Tribolium castaneum: one gene and its partner. The protein of the gene in region 2 interacts with the protein of the main gene of each other region in a biochemical or structural test. Links are inferred from orthologs where the notes say so. Each region holds a gene or a part of one and is shown on either strand. Other genes may lie near its edges.

Evidence for each region. The genes of interacting proteins can lie anywhere in the genome.
Region 1: the proteins of mor (region 2) and Bap111 form a complex in vitro, tested with the Drosophila melanogaster proteins (2 studies listed by BioGRID, with this or other methods). The link is inferred for Tribolium castaneum from reciprocal best matches to the Drosophila melanogaster genes mor and Bap111.

Annotation. Positions count from the first base shown.
Region 1 is NC_087402.1:571,290-576,230, forward strand, and holds the start of Bap111 (SWI/SNF-related matrix-associated actin-dependent regulator of chromatin subfamily E member 1), read left to right. Parts: upstream 1-2,068; 5' UTR 2,069-2,182; coding exon 2,183-2,243; intron 2,244-2,591; coding exon 2,592-2,636; intron 2,637-2,684; exon of another isoform or gene 2,685-2,945; intron 2,946-3,023; coding exon 3,024-3,064; intron 3,065-4,323; exon of another isoform or gene 4,324-4,429; intron 4,430-4,490; exon of another isoform or gene 4,491-4,769; intron 4,770-4,797; coding exon 4,798-4,887; intron 4,888-4,941.
Region 2 is NC_087395.1:15,650,361-15,655,301, reverse strand, and holds the start of mor (SWI/SNF complex subunit SMARCC2), read right to left. Parts: upstream 3,101-4,941; 5' UTR 2,387-3,100; coding exon 2,270-2,386; intron 2,222-2,269; coding exon 1,988-2,221; intron 77-1,987; coding exon 1-76.

The DNA of each region.
Region 1 (4,941 bases), on a different chromosome or scaffold from region 2:
GCCGTTTTTTGATAACCATTTTGAAAAAATCATACTAGCTTTGAATTTTGACAGTTGACAATTTTGAAAATTCTAGAAAGGTTTTCGAACCTTTGGTTATCGAATGCAAAAAAATTATTCACTTAATATAAAGAGTTTAAGAACTGTGATATTTTAAATAAACTCCTGTAAATGAAAATTTTAACAAGAAAATTGACATATGTCTAAAACTATGACAGATAGGTGCCAACAACTTAAATAAATTTTACTCAGTTTAAAAAGGTGAATTCAAAAATGCAGTAAAAATGTATGGTTATTATTTAAAATTTCAAAGTTGTCGTAAATTTTTTGTAGTTTCGGAAGCTTAACCATTTTGAAGAAATGGTCAATTTAGATCGTATACAAAGTTTTAAAGCTCTGGCTATTAACGACGTTTATTTGACAATTGTCACTCGGCTGTTACTTGACATCATACAACTAGATTTGATTAACTATTATTTTTTTTAATTTTGTGAATTTTTTAAATAGTATTTTTTAGTATAAAAAATAATATCTACCAAATTATAAAAAGAAAAATATAGATTACAATTTAAAAGAAACTAGTGGAATACAGCCCAAAATATACTATGATATTTAGAAAATTTTTAAAAGCACCAGCTTATACTACATTAAAAGCGGTTTAAATACCTTTTTTAATTTTTAAAATCGGGCCGTAACTAAAAATTCTATAGAGCCTGACGATTTTAAAACATCACCTTTTACATTAGATTAAAAACGCACTGAAATTGATTTAAAATAATTTTACCACTGTTATTAAAATTTTTCCCGAATTGTAGGAGTTCCTTGTTTTTATTTTTTTAATAATTAATTCGGACTTTATTTATTTATGATTGATTCTTTCTTGAAGAGCTATCAAGTGATCCTAAAATTTCTGCATTAACTTGTCTTTTGATTTTTTATTACAAATTACAAAGGAACATAATTTTGGAAAATTGTAGTATTTCGCGAGAAAAATATGTGATTGAGTGTTTTTTTACCTAAATTACATTAGGAAAAGTCCGTCCGTTCGCACCCAAATGAACCGGATCACAATTCAGTCGAAACTGAGTCACACAGTGAGCGTCGCGACGCTATTGATTTGGAACTAGAATACGTCATCCACCTACGATAATGTACCCGATTTATGTTCGAAAAATGTACCACGCGGTACAACAATGAATGAAAAATACTTTTAAAAAATCGCCCGATTATGTTTCTAAAAATATCTCAATTGTCGCGTTGCTTTATTGAAAAATTGCAGTCGTTGTTTAAGTTTCTTGGGGATTTGAAAAGGGTAGTATTACTCACTTTTTAGGCCTCATATCACATCAAGCATTCAGACTGAAATCGCACCGAAAAATAAAACAGTTACATTGTCTATTAAAACACGAATTGATTTATTTGAGAAATTTTTTACTTGAAGACGGCTTTCCAAAGGGCTATGGCGTTCACTGGATGGATCCAGGCAACCGGTATTGATTATGCGCAGAAATGATGGCAGTGTATCACAAAATTCGAAAATTTGATTAGAGTGGCAAAAAAATGACAAACTCAATTGTGGCATTACATTTACAAAATTGTACATTTGTGTGACATGTAATTTCTTTCAGCAAATAACATTAATGGAATTGGAATTTTCGAATTTTTTAGGGAGTTGCGTAGCGTCACGTTGGCGTCAACAAAATCAAATAAAATATTGTATGTCTCACGGGTGGTGATGAAATTATGAATTAAAGAAAAAATAGTTCTAACATTATTTTGAATTTTTTTTTTTTTGAAATATGGCGCCAATTATATTATCAAAAACAAAAAAATTGCACTAAAACGTGTGATTTTGATCGCAATAAAAAAATAGGAAATAATTTTTGAACTTTGGCCCAGCTTAGTAAATCGCTTGATTTTGAGCTGGCAAATCTTTGGTGTGTTTTTTGTACTCTTGTAAATGCTTTTTGATGGGTTTTTTGTAATGGAAACAAAATATTGTTTGAATTTTCCGCTTTTTGTATCGTAGGTGGCGCTTTGCTGGAAAATAGAGAGAGAACGACTTGCATCTTTCTCCAATTCGTTGTCAGTTGTCAACATGGCGTCATTTGTGTAAAAAGTGTTGTGTATTTTAAAAGAATCTCAATTTTAGATCTAATTTAATTAGTGTGTGTGTGAAAAAATGGCTCTTCCAGCCAATTACAAGCAAGTAGCGATGCAAATGCCTAGCCCTCAAACAAACCGTAAGACAAAGTTGCAAGAAAATGCATTTTTCCAAATAATATCTATTATTCTGACGTTATTACTATAATTTGACGCGAATTGCTGTAGATTTTCCAGTTAGTTTTTGAAAATGTTCGAGTAAAATCCAGTAAAGGAGCTTGCCGTTCGCATGAGTATTTTTGTAAGACGCTATTTATTATTTTTGAATTATTGATGACAAGTCATAATAGCATGAACTAGGTTATTCTAAGCTAAATGCTATGGTTTATAAATTATTTTTTCCACTAACACCCGCATTTATAAACCATAGTAGACTCTTTTTTTGTAGAATAGTGCTGATGATTGCTTTGTTTGTGTTTGTTGTTCAGATTTGCTGTCGGCAGGCGTGCCCATGACTTTCAACATATTGAAAGGTAACTGCAATCTTCGTTTTATTAACATTTTACAGAAGTTTCAAACATTCTTCTAAAATAATTAAGCTTTGCTTCTTTCCATCATCATCAATCAATTCAATGGAAAAGAAGAAAACTGTAATTACAGTTTTCTACTTTTTTTTTGACCAATTGGTGGCAACAAAAAATGTTGCCAACTCGATTTCGTAGTCAGGGCGGAGAATGTCAGTAGAATTTAAATTAGCTAAATTTTGCTCTAGGCTTATTACTTATAGTAGTTGCACTTTAACAAGGTTTTTCATTCATTTGCTCTCATTTTTAATAGTTAAGGTAAGTAGTGGTGTTTTGAGTCATTGTTGCACGTTTCGTTTGAGGTAAAATCGAAATGAAAAATAATTTTTATTCTAGAGCGTTTGAGAGCGTCTGGAGGGTCCGGATCTGGATCAAATGTAAGTTTTAATTTTTTTTGGGTTGTTTCTTATCTGTAGAGAAGGATTCTTGGGAAGATAAAGAAATTATTTTGTACATTTTTTATTAATTCCTACTGCAGGAAAATTAAAAGCAATAATTCTGAGATCTCAGTGACTTAGTGAAACACATAAAAACATTAAAAAAAATTATGTAAATATTGTCTTAATGTAGTAATTTTTCAAACTGTTTTTTGATTTTGAGCACATTTTTTACAAAAATTTGAGAAAAAATTGTATATGATTAAAAAAAAGACAAAATCGTAATGTTATTCTGATCCGATTTCGTGATTTTTTCGATCATTTTTAATAAAATCTGAAACAGATAATCGAGAATTTATATAAAACTACTGTGTTCAATCAATTTATATTTTTTTGCTTTATTTTTGACAGAAAAACCTGTAAAATTGAGTGAAATAAATAAAATATCAATTTCGATCTGATTTCCTGACTGTAAAAGTCTTGCTTAAATAATAAATATTTACTTTTTTAACAAAAGAAATTTCTTTCGAGTTTTCCTGGTTAGTAAAGTTTCCCAAAATCGGGTTTCTATGGCTATTTGTTCTTCAAGTTAGAGTTCCTATATTGGGAGAGTTGGGACACTGAACGTCAAACCGAGCCAATTTTGTATTATGTGGATAAGGTATATATTTCTATCCTTTTTTATTAAAATTTTTGTTAGTAACTTATGTCAGAGGTTTATGTTGAAAATAATTTCAAGGTTATAATTTTTGTCAAATGCATAAAATGACATAATTTTACGTCAAATTAAATCAGGGACGTAGAAAACGTAGAAATTTTGGGATTACTATTTAAAAAAAGAAAATAATTGAATACCTATCAATATTAATGTTCACATTTCTGAAATTTTTCAATATTTATTTTAATATTAAATACATAACTTAAAACATACTTCAATGCTAAAAATGCTTTTCTTTCAATCACAATTTTTAGTTAAACATCTCGTCCCAAAAATTGGTCATCAAGAACCCTTCATATTTCCTGACGTCTTTTTAAATTTTCTAAAAAATGATATTGAAGATGTTCTCGTATGAAAAACGTAACAACATCGTGAATTCCCAATAACTTTATAATTTGAAACAGTAGCTAAAGTTCACGTAGATGGCGGCCAAGCAGTAACAGGTTCAACTTTCCTAAAAATTAGAACCAATTTTGGGTTCAAGTACCTACGTCTTTTGTAAATGCATAGACAAATTCCCAAAATCTCATAAATTTTGTACATAACATTATTTCGACAATCCACTTTTCCAAATGCTTGTTAATAATAAACGTAAAACTTGGCAGGAAAGGTTCAGTTTCTCTCTCTTTCATCGATGATTACCATTTCTTAAAATTAAGGAAAAAATGTTTATGATGAAGAATTTAGACGTAAAATTCTTGTACTTACAAAGAAATCTCTTTTAAAATTTGGAGTTTATATAAAAAAAACAGTGAATTGACGACGACTGCCAGTCTAAACCATTTCTAAACGCAGTTAGTCGACGAAAAATGGAGACATTTTTTGACAAATTTATTTGACTTTTCGCCAAATTTCAAGTGTAACACCACTGATTTCTATCCCAATTTGTTTTTTTATACATTCCAACCGACGTATATGAAACAAAATTTCGAAAATCGACATTCAGTGTCCCAACTCTCCCAATATAGGAACTCTACTTCAAGTTACGTAAAATACAGGTCAATAAATCCTGCAGTTATTTTTACAGAAAGAAACAAGTCCGTTTGTAACAACGCCGAATGGCCATCCTGGGTTTTTACCACAAAAAGTGGGAAAGAGTTCGTCGGTAAGTATTTCTATCTTTCTCACAAACCCAACTTATCTACTGATAATTCTCACT
Region 2 (4,941 bases):
TGTAGAAGCGGTTCTGGACCAAGACCTTCTCCATGCACTTCAACATCTCGAACACGCGCTCCAGCTTGCCCGTGCTCTGTTATCAAAAAACAAATAAAATGTTCCATTACCATCTAAGTTTTCAGAGCAATGAATTTGAAAAAATGATTTATTTGTGTAACGGTTAGCATAATAGAAACAAAAAAAATACAGGCAGATAGAGCATTAAATTCTAATTAGTTTGCTCAGGAACAAATAATTAATTAGTAAATGGGGCTCCGAGTCGTTTTACGTGTAGATCACTTTTTCGTAATTTTTGGCAAACTGGAAAAATTAAAACATCCAAAACTACGAATTATAAAACAAACGTGAGGACAGATACGGAATCCTCAGTCAATTTTACGTAAGAGAGGCATATTTTTGACCTATATTTTTGATTATTGTGACCTTGATTATTTTTTTATTGGCAGATAAGTAAATCAAAATTTTGATTAAGTTGTTTTATTCGATTTATATTCAGAATTTTGACCCGATTGTTACTAAATTTTGTGCAAGAATAGGTAATTAATTAGTAAAGAGGGCTACAAGTCGTTTTTAAAAGTAGATTTATTTTATTTGTTTTTATTTTTGGTAGACTGGAAAAATGGAAATCCGCCGTATATCGTCTAAAATATCTTCAAAACTACGAATCGTAGAACAAAAATGAGGAAAAATTTGGAATCCTCAGACAATTTTACGTTAGATGGTCATATTTTTGACCGATATTTTTGGTTATTGTGATCTTGATGATTTTTTTATTTGCAGAAAAGTAAATCAAAATTTTGACCAAGTTGTTTTGTTCGGATTATTTTCAGAATTTTCATTAGATTTTCACTAAATTTTGTGCAGGACTAGATAGTTGATTAGTAAAGAGGGCTACAAGTCATTTTTACGAGTAGTTTTAATTCTTTTTATTTTATTTTTTGTAGATTGGAAACATAGAAATCGACCGGATATCATCTAAAATATCTTCCAAACCACGAATCATAGAACAAAAATGAGGAGAGATTCGGAATCCTCAGACAATTTTAGATTAGATAGATTTTTTTTTATTTTTGGTAGCTTGTAAAAATGGAAATCGACCGTATATTGTCTAATATCTCCAAAACTACCAATCATAGAACAAAAATCAGGAGAGACTGGGAATCCTCAGACAATTTTACGTCAGCTAGACGTAATTTTTACCTGTATTTTTGGTTATTGTGATCTTGATGATTTTTTTATTGCCAGATAAGTAAATAAAAAATTTCACCAACTTGTTTTATTCAAATTATTTGCACAATTTTGAATCTATTGTTACTAAATTTTGCACAGGAATAGGTAATTAATTAGCAAAGAGGGTTACAAGTCGTTTTTACGACCAGATCTAGTATTTCTATTTTTTTATTTTTGGTAACTAAAAAAATGGAAATCACCATACATCAGTTAATATCTCCGAAACTACGAATCGTAAAACAAAAATCAGAACAGATTTATCAGAACAGACATATTTATGACCTATATTTTTGGTTATTGCGATCTTAGTATTTTTTTATTGACAGATAAGTAAATTAAAATTTTAACCAAGTTATTTTATCCGGATTAATTGCACAATTTTGACTGGATTGTTACAAAATTTTCCTCAAAAACAGATAATTCATTAGTAAAGAGGGCTACAAGTCGTTGTTACGAATAGATCTATTTCTACTTTTTTAAATTTTTGCTAACTAGAAAAATGGAAATCATCTAATATCTCCAAAACTACAAATCGTAGAAGAAAAATGAGGACAGATTTGGAATCCTTCGACAATTTTACGTTAGACAGACATATTTATGACCGATATTTTTGGTCATAAGATGATCAATTAGCAAAATAGGGTTACAAATTTAGCTGAGTTTCAAACCAAAATTTGTAGGTTCCACCGTACAGAAAAAGAAATAATTATGGAAAATACTATTTTACGCCAAAGTTTTAAGACAGGATACTCACTTTGCCTGTTGGTATCTCAAACCGGCGCCAATTGTGCTCGCTCTTGAACTTGTACGCCGCCAACAGCATGTGGCACAAGGCGCCCCCGGGCTTAAAATCCATAAAATACCGCACCGGGATGCGGATCATGGGCGGCTTTTGCACATTTTTGCCCAAAAAGTCCTCCTGGAATTGCATCAATTGCAAAACCAACATGGAGAGACTCTTATTAGTGACAGGTTCGGCTTGAAAATACTGAAACAACCACAATGATGGGGGCACTCACAGCGCTCAGAACCTCACCTTTTTGCCATTCTTCTGCAGCCACTGCCTCACAAGCTCGAGGGCCGCGAGGGTTTCCGGCGATTCGAAGTATTTCACGTTAGGACCGCCGTCCTTTTTGGGGCCGTAGCCCATCATTTTGCCCACAGAAGAATAATTCCCGACTTACGAAACTACCGTATTACTGAGACTTAACTAAATTGTACATTACTTTGGTAAACTTTACAGAAATATACAAATAAATAGCGTAAATTTAGCGAAATAAACCGACGCTTGAATATCACAATAATGTCAATTGTCAAAATGCGAAGTATGGGCAACCAGTAATACGTTATCCGGGGCGGGAAATTTGAATTTCGAGCGTGAGCGTGTTTGCAACACGTGCCCACGCTTCACGGGCCGATGCACGTTCACTGTCATGGACTGGAAACGTTCACATGTAGGGAAATAACAGATCAAAACAACTTATGTAAGCCGAAACGTGTGAAATGAGCGGTCGTGAATTTTCCTGGCGTTACCTAACAGCTCACGTGAAACGTGACCGCAGCTGAGGCATTTCCGAAAAAAATCGGGTCTTCGCGTTGTCTGAAGCTCGACGGGCTTATGCTGGGCCTCAAACGGGGGCGAAACTGCCAGTTTTGGGGCTCGGGTACCTCGCCCCCGTGGCCAAAAGTTTCGCTCTGATAGGTGTAATAGGTAGGGATCACGTGGGTCTCCACGTTACTTTGAACGTGATCTCTGGTTTGGCTCATGTGCAAACAAACAAACAATCCCCGCGTTACGTTCCGGTGCACGAATGAGCTCGCAGCAGTGGCGTGCACTGAAATTTTTTGGCAAGGAAAAAAAAACAGTTACAAAAACTTACCTCTTTGTGATCTAATTCAATTCTCCTCCCTTTTTCCTAATTCCGTTATCACGACATGTTTATACACAATATTGAAGTAATGAAGCACCAAAAATGAGAACATACTAGCTTACTAGCATAGGATATACAAACCAAATTTTTGCTTCTATTAACGTCACTTGGGTAAAAGTTACAAATTAACAAAGCTGACGCCTATACTAGGTATTCGGTTCAGAAAAAAGCTTAAAAATAAAAACGAGCGCTTAGAGTATTATTATTAGACCGCCTCGTCTCTAGATTGTTTTAAATTATAATTAAAACTTACGTAACTGTGAATAGTTCATTCATGGATGGAGAAAGCGCAGAAACGTTGAGAAGCCATTTTTTTTTATAAGCTAACATCAGAAAAAAATCATATTTATAGTTTTACAGAATAGTTTTGCTGAAATTGGTAAATGATTTTATAATTAATATAGTTTATAATATTTTTTTTACATTAGCTTTATTTTTTTTTATTATATTTTACCATTCCCCTATCTGGCGTTAACTTTCTTGTGTGTCCTGTGTTGACTGATATTTAAGTTCGCGACTTTATTAGAAAAATTTTCCTAGTTTTTAGGTCTAGCTCAACTAAAAAAAAAAAACACTAAAAAAGCCTAAATTCCTTGTCAAAATACCTTTCATTTGAGGTATTTCGAATTGTGAAGGTGTTGTTTTTAATTTTTTAATACAAAAGAGGTAGGTGCTACAAATTTCGAAAGGACACTAACAGGTGTCCCCTGTAAATAAAAATTGACCTGTTTTCGGATTTACTAGTTTTTTTGTTTGTTTTCTAACATCCAGGGTGATTCGTTAAAAAAACAATCAGTTAAAAAAAGGATCATTTTTTATCACTTTTCATAATATTTTTTCTTCATGAAATAGAGCATCTTGTTTGAAATATTGTCAGTAGAGTTCAGTTCTAACAGAGATTTTTCTTTTACAAAAAAATCAAGCGTTTAGAAGTTATTTCACCCCAAAATAAAATGTTTTCAAAAATTGGATCACAAAAATTATTTATTATTTATTATAATACAGAGCCGGCTCTACGGACCGTGAAATATATGGACGGAGAGGCAAAAAGGATCCACAAAAAAAAAACTTTAGGTGGTCAATAAGAAAAGGGCTAAAAATTTAATACAATCCATTTTGAAAATGGTAACTTTAACTGAGATTTTATTGCAAATGGGTCTATAAACGCTAAAAAGTACACCCTATTCTATTAAATACAAAGATTTTTGAAATTTTTTTTAAGGTTTGGCGTTTAATTGATTTTATTTTATCAAAATTTTGCAAAATATTATTAGCATTTTTGGACAAACAAGCTGTTCAAATATAAAGCCGAGTCAAAATTTTTGATACAGTTATGTGATTTTTCAAACCTCGGTGATACAGTTATCGGAATAATTGCGTTCCTGGAAAAAAAACCGTGTTATATAACGTAGAAATGGTAAAATTGTATCATTTTCGATTTAATTTATTCATTTTTCAGCCAGATTTAGCAAAATTCTGATTAAAAATATTTTTATTTTTTATTAGTGATGAAAAGCTCTTTTTTTGAAGTAGGTAATTTTGAGATTTTTCAGCTAATTTTTCGCGAAAATTTGGTAAACAACGTTTCTGACTCAAAATTTAGCACATTTTGAGTCAGAAACGTTGTTTACAAACAAAATAAATGTAGTACTTACTTACTTTTCGGATCAAATTTAGCGGATTTTTGTGAAAAAGGCAAAACAATTAAACATTACTTTGACTTTTACGCTTATTATAAACAAAATTATTCAAAATAATCGCGTTTCTGAATAAAAAA